Pelodiscus sinensis: one gene and its partner. The protein of the gene in region 1 binds, or shares a complex with, the protein of each later gene. Links are inferred from orthologs where the notes say so. Each region holds a gene or a part of one and is shown on either strand. Other genes may lie near its edges.

Region 1 (7,356 bases):
TCCTCCAGAGTTAGAAGACAAAGTATCACTTATTCACATAATGGAACAACAACAAAAAGTTTGCTACAACTGTACTCTTTTTTCATTTTCCATTCATAATAGAAAAGTTCCATCCAAGGGAAGGCAGATATATATCTTTTCAGGAGAGGCTAACAAGTCTTTGTGTCTGCCAGAAAGATCCTGAAGTTTTAGGAAGGGAGACATTAGTAACTGTATTCAGAAAGCAAAGGGAGGAATATGGAACCCACTACTGCCAATATCTTTGCTATGTAACTGCGCACACACCACCTCAAATACAGGCAGTCCCCGGGTTACGTACAAGATAGGGACTGTAGGTTTGTTCTTAAGTTGAATCTGTATGTAAGTCGGAACTGGCATCCAGATTCAGCCACTGCTGAAACTGACCGCCAGTTCTGACTTACATACAGATTCAACTTAAGAACCCCAAGCGTCCCCAAGTCAGCCGCTGCTGAAACTGACCAGCACTGACTACAGGAAGCCTGGGGCAGAGCAACTCTGCCTCGGGCTTCCTGTAGTCAGTGCTGGTCAGTTTCAGCAGCGGCTGAATCAGGATGCCTGGGGCAGAGCAGCTGGGGTGCTGCTGCGTTGGTCCAGTAGTGCCCAGAGCGGCGCTGCAGGACCAATCGGCAGCGCTCCAGCTGCTCTGCCCCAGGGTCCACAACAAAATCCTGGTCTGCTGGGGGGGGGGGGGCACACTAGCTGCGCCCCCCCCCCCCCCCCCAGCAGACCAGGGACACCGGGAGCAAAGCTGCAGCGGCAGCGGGGTGCCGCGCCTCTGAGGCTTTGCCCGAGCAAAGCCTCAGAGGCGCGGGACCCTGTCGCGGCTGCGGCTTCGCTCCCGGTGTCCCTGGTCTGCTGGAGACGGTCCCCAGCAGACCAGAGACACCGAGAGCGAAGCCGCAGCAGCGTCAGGGTCCCGCGCCTCTGAGGCTTTGCTCGGGCAAAGCCTCAGAGGCGCGGCACCCCGCTGCCGCTGCAGCTTTGCTCCCCATGTCCCTGGTCTGCTGGGGGGGGGGGCGCAGCTAGTGTGCCCCCCCCCCCCAGCAGACCAGGCTTTTGTTGTGGACCCTGGGGCCGCTGCTGTGGCTTCTCTCCCGGTGCCCCTGGTCTGCTGGAGACAGTCTCCAGCAGACCAGGGGCACCGGGAGCAGCTTTTCTCGCCCCGGAGGTCGAGGTGGCGGATCGCTGCCGGCGAGCTCCGGGGCGAGAAAGCCCGGTTCGTAAGTGCGGATCCGACATAAGTCGGATCCACGTAAGTCGGGGACTGCCTGTATGTCTGTTTCTATTTGGAATTCAATCCTATAGAAGTAGTGTGATTTTTTTTGAAGGTTATTCAGACCTTGAAAGTTCTATTGTGCAATACTGAAAAAGGTTATTCTTATGAAGGCACTTAGAGGGACTATACTGCAAGTGTCCCTTCAATAATTAAAATAGAAAAGTCTCTTTCAAGCTTGTAGTAGAAACAACTTGACAGGCTAACAAAGGAATTTGACTTTGTCAATCAATTGTAGGTGCAAGATCTTATTGAGGAAAAAAGTCACTGAAAGTAGTGAATTTGGTCGTTAGGTTTTGAAAGCATCAGGAGTTCCATAGCCTATTAAAGTTGTCTCATGCGTTCATAAGCTTCACTTTAACAGATAAACTGTTTCACAGGTCCATTGGAACCAAGCTATCCTGCAAGAGAATTTCAGAAAACTATGGCTAACCCCACAAAGGCTTATGAATATGAGAAGAAATGCCTTCAGCAGGCATCTATTAACCATGCAGCTTGCGAGCGGGGCTCGCTGCCACTTGTCAAGCCCTGTCAATGGATAACCTGAACCAAAAGTGGAACAGCAAGGCTATATATCCACAATGACCTACGTTAAGCAAACAATGGGCTATTACATTTTGTACCATGTCCAGAATGAGCATATATCTCTAAAAATGAGTTGTCATGTGCAAGCAAAGAGTCAACACAAGTATATGGACAGCTCACCTATAGCCAGGTCTGCTCCTGAAGAGATACAAGAGGATCAACTGTCAAATTTCAGTAACTACTTTAAAATCAACATGAGATAAGGTAATTCTTCCCTTAACTCTCAGTCTCGACACTTACATACCCTACTCAATATAGTACATAAAGTCTCTCCTCACATTTTTGTAAACAGTGACTTCAGTTTTACACGAAGGGAACCAGCACGACTCGAGATTCAAAGGACTTGTCAAAGATCACAGGACGTCTGGGAAACACAGCCTAGACCTGAACCCAAATCTCCAGTCCTGGCCCAGCACCTTATTCAGAGGTTATTCCACCTAATCAGCGGCCGTATCCTCCCTTCAACTCACAACCCCCAAACGGTGTTCGGCGCCCGGCAAGCAGGGCGGATCGCCAGGCTGGCGAGGGCACAAGTGAAGGGGGACAGGGCAGAAACCCCCAAGGCCCGTCACTAGAGCGCAGACACGGCCCCTCCAGTGGAGACAGGCTGTGCGGAACCAGGAGCCCGTACGGCCGGCCACTGGCAGCTAGCGAAGCCCCGCCACACGAAGGGGGCCAAGGGCGGGATCCTCGGGGCAGCCGGAGCGCGCTCGCTCCCACGCAGGCCCGGGCCCACCAGAGCAGCCGTGAGCTCGGTACCTGCGGCGAAGTGCAAGGGGCTGGACTTCCTGCCCGCCGTGTCCCTGCTGTTCACGTTCTCGGGCCGCACCAGCCGCTTGACTCGCTCCACGTCCCCGTTCCTGCAGGCCTCGAACAGCTCCCGGGCCGGCTCCGCCGCGGGCCCGCAGCCCGGCGCCTCCAAGGGGCCGGCCGCGCCCATGCCGCGCCGCCCGGCCATAGCGCTCCCCTCCCCAGCCGCTGCAGCGCTTCGGGGATCACAGGCGGCCCCCCGCCATGGCCCCGGCTCCCAACACGCTCGGCTAGAGACGGAAGCAGCGGCCACTCTCCCCCACCCCCAGCTGCTAGGCACGGCGCGCCGTACGGCCGCCGCCGGGGAGCGCCTGATTGTGCGGCATGCAGAGCATGCGCAGTAAGGACAAGCGCCGCCATTGGACCATGCACAGAGAACGCGTGTTGCTCTGTGCGCCTGCGCGAGGCGATAATTTCTCTCCCCCCCCCCCTCCGCGCGTGCGTAGTGGGAGTGGCGATAGGCTGGGCTGGTTGAACTTGCGTGAGAGAGCCCAGTGGTGGTGGGGGGGGGATCTCGCTCCTGAAGACAGGGCGATGCAGCGCCTCCTGCTGTGCTGGGCTCGCGGCTCAGGAGATCTGCCCGCTGCCTCCACGCAGCCTGGAGCTTCCCCAGGCGAGAGTCAGCGGTTGTGTGTTGGGGGGGGCGGCGGCGGATACAGCTGCGCCATTACGTAGAGTTACCAGATGATTTCAAAAAAATACCAGACACCGTTGATCTCAGATGGGGGGTGGGACTGGCCAGGAGCGAGGCTGGGGGGACTGCCGGTGGGGAGCTGGGCTGGCTGTGAGGGGTGGGGGGACTGGCCAGTGGGGAGTGGGGCTGGCCCAGGTGCTCTCAGATCCTGGGGTGCTGCCCATCCAGTGCACGGTCCGGCAGGGCGCACTGTCAAGTCCGGTCTGGGATTCTATCCCACCCCCACCCTCCTCTTCTCGACTGTGTAGTTGTGTACTGCCTGGCTGGTAGACATGCTTACACAGCCTGAGCGTGTCTACCGTCCAGGCAGTATGCAACTACATACTGATATTTTTATTTTAATAATAAAACTTACTTAATTAGAAAATACCAGACATTTATATGTCCAGTATTTTCTCAATTTGTTTCCTGTGCTGAAAGCTCAAATACCAGACTGTCTGGTTCAAAACCTGGCAACCCTACCATTGCATTGAGCTCAGTGTAACTTAGCTCAGTTGGTGGGATGGTGTGGGTGCCCCAAGAAATGCAGAGGAGAGCCCCGGGACCAGCTGGGAGTGTCCAGCTGGCCCTGGGCTCCTAGAAGCATGCATCATAGCATGGAGCCCAGGATCAGGGGGAGCGGGGCTCTGAGTCCCCCGCTGATCCCAATTAACTGCATTTTTAACCTCCCTAATTTGTACCCTGCCCTACAGATGTGGCTGGGTATCAGCTGTGATGAGTGAAGTGGAAGTCAGGGTTCTAGTTACATTTTTCCTGGCTAAATCCCTGCATCATCTTTGCTCTTAAATCCCACAGAGTCCCTTGTGAGTCTGTTCACAAAGCACCAAGGCATGTATGGTCAGAAGTATGCCAGGTTTATAATTTGTATGTGAATGCTGCCCATAGTTTTCTGGTAAGTCCAAAGAGGCCATATGGATAAAAGTAATCACACTACTTTGCAATGCAAAGTGACTAAGTCAGTTGGCAAAATGGATGGTGAGGAGACAGGTAAGAAGAAGAGCCAAACTCAAGGGCTTGTGGCTCTAAGGCAGTAGCTGATCTAGACTTGCCTTCATTGCTAAGGTCATTCTTATGCCTGTACTTGGGAGTATCCTTGGAGAATTTCTGTGGCAAACTAGTGCCTTCACTGTTTACCTGGGACATTAGTGTCAAGTGACAAGCCCTCTATGGACAGGTCAGTTCATCAGTCTGTCTTTGAGCTCCTCCTAAACAATTGTGAGCTAAAAAGTTTCAGGGGGGTAGCCATGGTATTCTGTAACTTTTTAAAAATAACAAGCAGTCCTGTGACATCTTAGTCCTGGCCTAACTCCCCTTATTTCAAAATAACAAGCAGAGCATCCACACTACCAAGCCCATTATTTCAAAGTAATGGGCTGGTTATTTCAAAATAACTCCTGCTTTCCTCAGGGAATAACACTTATTTTGAAATAGTTATTTCAAAATAGTGTTAGTGTGAACACTTCACTGCTATTTTGAAATGACCACTCCCCCAAGTAATTCAAAGTAATTACTCCCCAGTGCTTCCTGGGACTCTTAAGTTGAGGTAGCGCATTCACAATAAAGGAGCCTGCCTCAGACTAATTTTGCAGCTTCCCCAAACTCAGGCCATGCTATTTCGATTTTGTTAATTTGGGATTTATTTCAAATATAGTTATTTCAAAATAATTTCCTAGTGTAGACCTGTCCCTAGAGCCTAACAATTATATTAGGTCATAGGATTTTGTGGGTAAAATGCACTTCATTAGATGAGTTGGAATGGAAATTACAGAATCCAGCAAAAACAGTTACTTGTCAATTATAGAACTAGTGTTAATTAAGCCAAATAAATAAGGCTCTATTTATCCGATTCATAGCATTTGATGTGGGAATGAGAATATCAAAAGGTGGGGGAAATTGCCTTTGTAGTGCATTAACTAGTATATTTATTCAAGCCCAAAGTTCATAGTGTCGACATGTTCTCTCTTTCAGGAATGAGACTTTGCTTTCTTGAAGAATAAGTTTTATTAAACCAAACTCTCACCTTTGTTGAAATTTAAGCGGGAAATTCAGGCCAGATTTTCTACATGCACACTCTGCAGTCTCCCATTCTCTTGACATTTTAGGGTAAAAAGAATCAGAGTAATTTTAATAATCAGATCTGGTTTTGGAGAACTTATATCTTTAGGACACTTGTCAGATTGTTCTGATTTTCCCATCAGATATTCTATGCATATCCTTTAAGTAGTCTACCAGTTTCCATTGCAATCTTCATAGGTGTGTGGATTGCACAGCGTTTTGTAAAGGTGACTCTTAAAATAGGGATGTTAAAATGTGTGTAACTGATTAACCAAGTAACTGCTGATTTCAGCAGTTACATGGAGGGGAGGGCAGCCAGCTCCCTAGGAACTGGCATGTGCCGAGACCCAGCTTTTAAGTTGGCTCCCCACATGTACTGGCTTCCACCTGCTGTCCCATGCTGCTGCCTCTGTATCCTGAGAACCAGACCAGGAACTGGGTGTAGCCATTTGGGTAACTAATAAGCTCATGCTTATTGTTACACATTTACACAGCTACATTCTTACATCTGTATTCTTAAATAGAAAGTTTGCAGGTGTTTTAACTATAGGACACTTATGAGCCCCCTGTAATTTAGGCATCCAGGTCACTTGATTTTTAAAAGTGCCAAGCTTCCAGCAGCTCCCACTGAAGTCTAGAGAAAGTGAAAGACGCTATGTCTACACTGCAGTGCTATTTCAGGATACCGGAGGTATTCTGCGGCTTTTGAGTGAACCCGTTATTTTGAAATCTAACAGGCTCGCTATTCCAACATCCCTGTAAACCTCATTCCATGAGGAGTAAGAGACATTTTGGAATAGTGATTTATTTTGAAAAGTACTGTGTAAACTGCCAAATTTCAAAATAAGTGATTTCAAAATTGACTTGAAATAAGCGATGCAATTTGCAAAGCTCAAATTGCGTGGCTTATTTCAAGCTTCAGGTGCAATGTAGACACAGACACAGACAGACACATGAAAAGGACAAATCACATTTCAGAACAGGAGGGGAATGCTGGGGGAGGAGGGGGGGGAGAGGAAGGAAGGTAAGTGTCTGTGAATTGATGATACTAGAGGTGGGGAGAGTGGGATGTTTGTGAGTTAATGGTATTAGAGGTGATAATTGGGGAAGCTATCTTGATAATGGGTAAGATTGTTTGAGTGTTCTGAGTGTTAGCATACTGTGGGGCCATTGCGATTACAAGCAATTAGAAACACTATCCCAGAGGACACTACTGCCAACCTGATAGCAGACCTATGTAACTTTGTTCTCACCCACAATTATTTCCAGTTTGAGAACAACTTATACCTCCAGATCAGCGGCACAGCCATGGGTACACGCATGGCCCCACAGTATGCTAACATCTTTATGGCTGACCTAGAACAACGTTTCCTCAACTCCCGTCCCCTTTCACCCCTTCTCTACCTATGGTACATCGACGATGTCTTTATGATCTGGACGCATAGCCAAGAAACACTGGAGATATTCCACAGAGATTTCAACAACCTACACCCCACCATCAACCTCAGCCTGGACCATTCTACATGAGAGATCCACTTCCTGGACACCACAGTACAAATCAACAATGGAAAATTAGACACCACTCTCTACAGAAAACCCACCGACTCATACAGTTACCTACATGCTTCCAGCTCCCATCCAGAACACACCACACGATCCATCGTCTATAACCAAGGCCTTCGATACAACCGCATCTGCTCTAATCCCACTGATAGAGACTAGAAGCTTCAGGATCTCTACCAAGCATTTATAAACCTCAACTACCCACCCAGAGAAATAAAAAAGCAAATTGAAAGAACCAGACGAATACCTAGAAACCATCTACTTCAAGACAGACCCAAGAAAACCAACAATAGAACACCACTTGTCATCACCTACAACCCCCAACTTAAACCTGTCCAACACATTATCAATAAAC
Region 2 (6,825 bases), on another chromosome or scaffold:
CTATTCAGCACCCCAAGTCCCTTCTGTTTCCCAACACCAGGCACCAAGCTGCCACCCCCCAGAGCCTGTGCTCCCATCCCCTTTCCCCACAGTCCTTTCCATGCTCCGCACTCCAAATCCATCCTTCACCTCCACCAGCAACAGCGGGGACTGGGAACCAATTGAGAGGGCTGCCAGAGGTGCACGTCCTTCTATCCAGCATCCTAAGCCCTCCCACTTCACAACCCCTACTCCAAGATCCAAACTTCCTTGCTTGTCCCACACCAAATGCACTATAAATAAGACTTTCTGTGCAGATCAGAAATGCTAGTTTATTGTGCTTGCTGGTTGGTAAAGTGCTGGATAAAAGGGCTTTTACTACTACTGCTCAAAAATCTGTTCCACCTTATATTTAGCTACGACAATGACATTGAATACCTTTCTAATGCCTAAGGAAGAGCTCTGTGTAGCTAGAAAGCTTGTCTCTTTCTAGCTACAGCAACAGACATTTGTCCAACATATTACCTCATCTACCTTGTCTTTCTAATACCCTGGGATCAACAACAGCATTGCAAATAACGGCATACAGTCAGCCGAAGGCAGATTCCTTTCACACACTATTTATGTTGCCCTCTTGGTAATACCACTTCAATATGACGGTGTAGAGAGGTTTTCAGTCTTGGTATAATGGCCTTTGGTTAATGAAATAACTGCAGAAAAATTGCAGATGTCTGCATCTGATGGGGGTGCTCAAATCAATTATCTAAATCTTATCGAGAAATGAAATCCCATTCCTTCATTAATTTAAAATGCAGTTAGATTCAGTTATGTGTTTAGAATTACATAAAATGAAAGCAATTTTACCTTCAAAATCAGGTGTGTATTGTAAATGAAAAGACTCTTTTGGCCTTAAAATCTATTAATCTAAAAATATGTTAATGGTGCAAAAACATCCAGACTAAATACAGATTAACAATTAACAACTTCATCCTGCATGACATTGCATGCCCTTAATTCCAACTGAAATCAACTGGAATTGAGGCAACTTGCACCTTGCAGTTTCGACTTAATGTCTTGCACGATTCAGGCCTAAAAAAATCATGTTATTTTTATCTCTAAGCTTTTACCAACCCTATGTTATATTGGATGTCTTAGCTTTCTGTGATACTATTTGCACCCTGTGTTGTTAAACATAGAGGACCGTAGCAAATGAAAAATAGCCTTTCCAAGTTACACTAATAAACTACACATTGTCAAGTCAGTATTAAGAGATGAAAGAGACTGGGAATTGAATACCACTACAAAGCATTCAATTATGAACAAGTTTACTGTGCACATAGTGACTTGCTTTTAATTTCACCAAAGTGCCTTCCTTCCCCATCATCCCCCGACTTTTTTGTTTTTTTTTTTTAAATGAAGATTGATCCATCCTTAATTCACATAGAGTCAAGAAGAAAAGAGGATTCTTTTCAGGAAGTAATATCCTATTAATTTACTCTTTTTGCACAAAACATTAAACTTGAGCTCAGAAGTGTCAGACACTTTATGTTTGAGAATTTTTAAAAGTGCCATAATATCATATGTACTGTAGCATTTCATCTTTAAGTCCCATCTTGACAATACACCCATGAAAAGGGAGATCTCAGTGGAGAAAGCTTTTGAAAGTACAAATCATACAACAAAAGAAATGTTGCAGTAAATTAAGATGGAGGGAAGGACTATTGAAATGTCCATCTTTCACAGGTGGCCTTTCCCAGAGTGAGATAACACTATACACTCAACCAGGCTGGAAAGAGCAGAAAGAAAAGCAGCAGCATATTCTAAAGCGCATCAGAACAAATTCTACCATTTCAGCGTCAGCAAGACACACATTTACTTTCTGTTCCTAAAACTGGAATTTCTAACTTTTTAGAGACCTCAGATATTCTTCCACTAAGTCAATCCATTTCCAAATGAAAGTTCCAATAAAAGACAGATAGACAAAATATATTTTTGTCCAGTTGATCCCTTTCTTGCCTCCATTTTCAACAACAGTTCCCTCAGAAAGACCACTTATTGATACTGGCAACACTGTGGAGTCTGGTCAGTATTTTGGGAAGAGCGAGACTAAGACTAAACCCCACTGCAAAGCATTCAATTATGAACAAGTTTACTATGCACATAGTGACTTGACTAGCTTTACATTTCACTAAACTGCCTTCCTTCCCCATTCAGCCCCCTCCCCTTTCTTTAAATGAAGATTGTTGATTCATTCTTAATTCACACAGAAAAGTCAGGAACAAAAGAGGATTCTTTTCAGGATGTAATATTAGTTTACTCGTTCTAGAGATAAAGAATCTAGATTAACAAACTACAAATTCATACTAACCTGGTGACAAAATCTGACTGACACATAGTTTTCTTACTGAACGTGGCACCGAATGAGCGTTTCCTTTGTACGTATGAAGCCATTAGCCATTTATAATCCCCCTCAGGTAAGGAAGTCAGCATATCTCCCCCTAGTGTGCACCTATAGATTAAATATCACTGATTGTTGCTGCTGTAGCTTCAGGTTTCTTATTAAAAGGCGGAGAAAAAACTCTGTCCTGACCCTTCCATGCTGTCAAGTGGGACGCCGTCACGCCTCAGCAATGAGTTGTTTCCTTTTTTGTTCACAATGTGAATGTGTGTTGCTTCCTGTTCCCAGGGGTCATTGGGTAGCATATCTGTATCACAAACCTCCTGATTCGCCAGAGAGCTAGTAAAATGAAACTCACAAAAGTCTCAACCAGTGGCAGCCCACTAGCCACAAAGGGGGAGATTCCACTACTACAGCTGTTTTTATATTTTTTTCATCATGAAGTGGAGGATTCAAAAGAGGAAGGGTGGAGGGAGATTGCATGCTTGAGTTTACAATCCTGTGGAAGCATGATTCAGAACCATTGCTTACTGCTTACAGAACAGCAAATGTTTCAAATGATGTTGATTTATAATACAGGAAATGGATTAAATATTTCTCTCTAATATTCCCCAAAGGAACTAAAAACAGCCATCTTGTTAAAGATAGGGATGTAAGCAACTAGTCAACTATCCGATAAGCTTTTGTTTGTCAGACAGTCGACTAGTGACTCCCCCACCACTACCCTTGCTGCAACAAAGGGCAGGGTGGCAGCAAGAGGTGGGGGGAGCAGGAGCCAGTGCTGGTGGAACCGGCTTAAAAGCCAGTTCTCCGCCAGCACCATCTCTGTTGGGGGCAGAGGCGTAGTGGGAATCAGCTGATTCCAGACTCACACCTAGTCCCAGATGCACCTCTGCTTTTTAAGTGTATTAAAAGAGCTGTGCACCAGCCTTTTAAATGTATTAAGAGCTCACGCTGGGTCCCTTGTGCTGCACATTAGCCTTTTAAATTGATTAAGAGCCAATAGGCTCTTAATCCATTTAAAAGCAGTGGTCTCCAACCTTTTTAAGAACGAGATCACTTCTTTAATTTAAGTGCAATCCAAGATCTGCCTCATACCCAAACAACCTTGCCCTGCCTCCTTTGCACTCCTTCTCTGAGGACCTGCCCCTGCTTACTCCCTCCCCCATTCTCCCTCACTTTCCCCAGGCTGGGGCAACACTTTGGGGTGCAGGTTCTGGTCTTGGATTAAGGGATTTAGCATGTGAGAGGGATTCTGATCTGAGCTTGGGGCAGGCAATTGGGGTGTCAGAGGGGGTTGTAGGTGCAGGCTCTGGGTAGGTGTTTGGATGTAGGGGTACTCGGAGCGAGGGTAGGGCCTTGGGGTGCAGGAGAGGGTTTATGGCTATGGTAGGGGTTCAAGATGTGGGCTCCAGCTGGGCACTGCTTACCTCAGGTGGCTCCTGGGTGGTGGTGCAGTGTGGCTAAGGCAGATCCACCCCTGCCCTGGCCCTGCACCACTCCCAAAAGCAGCATCAAACTCCATCCCAAGACCTTTTGTGCCCCCACTCTGCTCTGTGGAGATAGAATAAAGGGTGGTTGAAAGCACCTTGACATCAGCGCCCTCCATTCCACTCCCTTCCCTCCCCTTCCCTGCACAGCAAGCAGGAGGCTCCTGAGGGGACAGCTCCAAAGCAAAGGGCAGGAGATATGCAGCAGTGTGGGAAGAGGCAGCTGAAGTTTCAGCACCTGATAGCCTCTTGGCCAAACCAGTCAGGATCACCTGTCAGAGGCTCCAAGATCTACCAGTAGATCCCGATGGACTGGTTGGAGACCACTGATTTAAAAGGCAGAGCCGCAGCAGGGTAAGCTCCCGAGCCAGTAGCTAGCCCCGCTGCAGCTCCCCACTTATCAACTAATTGACTAGTCAATTGAAAATCTATTGACGAGTCGATTGGTTGATTAAACTAAATTTAACATCCCTAGTTAAATACTCACAAAATGACTGCAGAAAGTTCACCCTTTATAATAGAAGGAATGCCTTAATACGATCACCATATTTCACCTTATACAAAGCACAAAGGAAGACAAAACTCTGCCTAAAGGATCTTACAACATAAAGACAAAATTCTACAATATAAGGGCTATCTGACAATGATGGTATATAATAATACCACTAGCATACACAGTTATAGCCCCCTCACCTGATGTAGCAACTTCCCTTGACTAGTCTCTTCCTCCTGCCCCTTGCTGCCTGTATCAGAGGCAGCAGGAATGGGGTGCTGGGGAGAGCCATCTTAAAAGTCAGATCCTCCAGCACCGTCTCTGCAGGAGGACATGGGAAGCAGAGGGCTAGCGGGGACCAGGCATGAGCTGGAAATCAGCTGATTCCTGGCTTGTACCCAGTCCCAGTACACTGCTCCTCTGCTTTCTAAATGTATTAAGAGCTGGCTCTTAATACATTTAAAAAGCAGAAGTGCAGCTGGAGGGAAGGAGACATCCGGCGCGAGCCAGGACAGCTGATTCCCAGCTTGCACTGGGTTCCCCCCGTTTTGCTTCAGCCTGCCAGCAAATAATACATTTAAAAGACAAAGCCGCAGCAGGGTAAGTTCCCAGGGCCAGGAGCTAACCCCACTGCGGCTCCCTGTCTTATCATCTAATGGACTAGTCGATGGAAATTCCATCATCTAGTCAATTAGTTTAATTAAATTTAACATCCCTAACCTAGCGGTCTTATGTGATAAAGATGCAAAAAATCCATATTAACCAGTCTGAGTTAGGCAACGCCACAGGATAAAAAGCACAGTTAAACCACATAATACAATAGATGATTAGCACAGTTCACAGTGGTGGGGACAAGATGTTTAAGAAGCATATGCTATGTGCTGCATACTTTACTTATTTTGGTGGATCAGAATAGGCAGCCTTCAAGGAAGATGTGTGTTTTAAAAACACATGAGTCAGTGTTGGGGATGGAAGAGTTTCCAAGCACAAGGAATGATATGGAAAAAGAAGGAGGCTATGAACAATATGATTAGGTGCATGGCTTAAAAAAGAAGAAAGGCTGTAGAAGAAGGATCTAGATTAGATCTAGGCTGAGATACAGAAAGGGTTGGTATTGGGTAGGAAAGCAGTTCTCAACCCTTTTCCATACCAGGACACCACCTGAAGTCCTCCTTCCACTTTGCCTGGAACCCCTCCCCACAGTTAGTAGTAAGTAAGAAGCAAGGGTGGCGGAGAGTATCTGAAACCTCTTCACAATCCCAAGGGTGAGTATAGCTGAGGCAGAACCTTGAAAGCAAGTTTTTAATGTATCTACACTTATTAGTCCAAATGTTACCTACCTCCCACGGTGAGGTTTTGTTAAGTATGACATTACCCAGGATATAATCTGGACTGACGAATGCCTGCGTCCCTTCAGTTCTCCAACCACAGATACCAATTACCCTGCTGGTTACAACTCCTGGTCTGTTCCCACACAGTTTCCAATGTGCAAGTCATTCTCCATTAGGGTATATGAGTGCTGCTGCCACACACACTTGAATAACACTGAAAAGCAACACCAGCAAATTCTCCATCCCAAAAATATGCATTTTGTACTGTCCAACTCTCTCCTTTCAGTCTAGGTTCCCTCCCCTGGTCCAAAGTTGTTTCCTTTGTTCTTCAGGCATTATGAATGGGCAGAGAGAAAGGGAGGAACAATTTGGAGTGCCTCTTCCCTTTCTCTTCTTTGAGAATCATCTTCTACTGAGGTTCAGGAGACAGCAAGTCCATGTGGACAGAAATCTCCGACGAGATGCAGATCTTTATCCACATCCTTTTTCCTGCCAAAGAAATGTCACTTAACCAGGAGATGGTCTATTTGATTTTACTGACACCTGGCTGAGGCACCGATAAGCGTCTTATCTCTGGAAACTGGTCTGTGGCTGCTCCCCCAGACATGGAACATGTCTAGTAGTAGCATACAAAGAATCTTATGAACTTTACATGCATTGTTTCCACACATATTTTATTAGATCAATAATGATCAGCAAATGACGAGGTTTCATATGACACCTCAAAAGGGATACTTTGTACAAAACTTATCATAGGGTACATCTAGACTACATGCCTCTGGCGACAGAGGCATGTAGATTAGGGTACCACACATAGTAAAATGAAGCATACCTGGGTGGTCGACAAATACCTTTGATGTCGGCAGGGGAGCGTCCAGACTATCACGCTGAGCTGACAAACAGCTGATCAGCTGTTTGTCGGCTCAGCGCGGCAGCCATGTAAATGTAAATGAAGCGGCGATTCCCTGATGTCCCCAAAAACACTAGACATTCAAGATGCTGGTGGCTATGGGGAAGGTGTGCCTGGGTGCTCAGGTGATTCTTGCACAAGAACAGGTTCAGGATCCTTATGAGGACCCGGAGAAACAATGGTGACCAAGACGAGGCCACGAAAGCCACTCGCGACATGGGCCC

Evidence for each region. Proteins that work in one complex are often made in the same cells at the same time.
Region 2: the proteins of TNKS2 (region 1) and SH3BP2 are in contact, whole or in part, in a crystal structure (PDB 3TWR), measured with the Homo sapiens proteins. The link is inferred for Pelodiscus sinensis from reciprocal best matches to the Homo sapiens genes TNKS2 and SH3BP2. Residues at the interface, in NP_079511.1 of Homo sapiens: Arg525, Ser527, His531, Phe532, Gly535, Tyr536, Asn537, Arg538, Leu560, Asn565, Ser568, Tyr569, His571, Asp589, Trp591, Phe593, Glu598, Lys604; in NP_001116153.1 of Homo sapiens: Leu413, Gln414, Arg415, Ser416, Pro417, Pro418, Asp419, Gly420, Gln421, Ser422, Arg424.

The regions. Positions count from the first base shown.
Region 1 is NC_134718.1:40,946,181-40,953,536, reverse strand, and holds the start of TNKS2 (poly [ADP-ribose] polymerase tankyrase-2), read right to left. Parts: upstream 3,005-7,356; 5' UTR 2,838-3,004; coding exon 2,639-2,837; intron 1-2,638. UniProt on the Homo sapiens protein: Poly-ADP-ribosyltransferase involved in various processes such as Wnt signaling pathway, telomere length and vesicle trafficking.
Region 2 is NC_134715.1:117,061,407-117,068,231, forward strand, and holds the start of SH3BP2 (SH3 domain-binding protein 2), read right to left. Parts: upstream 3,005-6,825; 5' UTR 2,470-3,004; coding exon 2,348-2,469; intron 1-2,347. UniProt on the Homo sapiens protein: Binds differentially to the SH3 domains of certain proteins of signal transduction pathways. Binds to phosphatidylinositols; linking the hemopoietic tyrosine kinase fes to the cytoplasmic membrane in a phosphorylation dependent mechanism.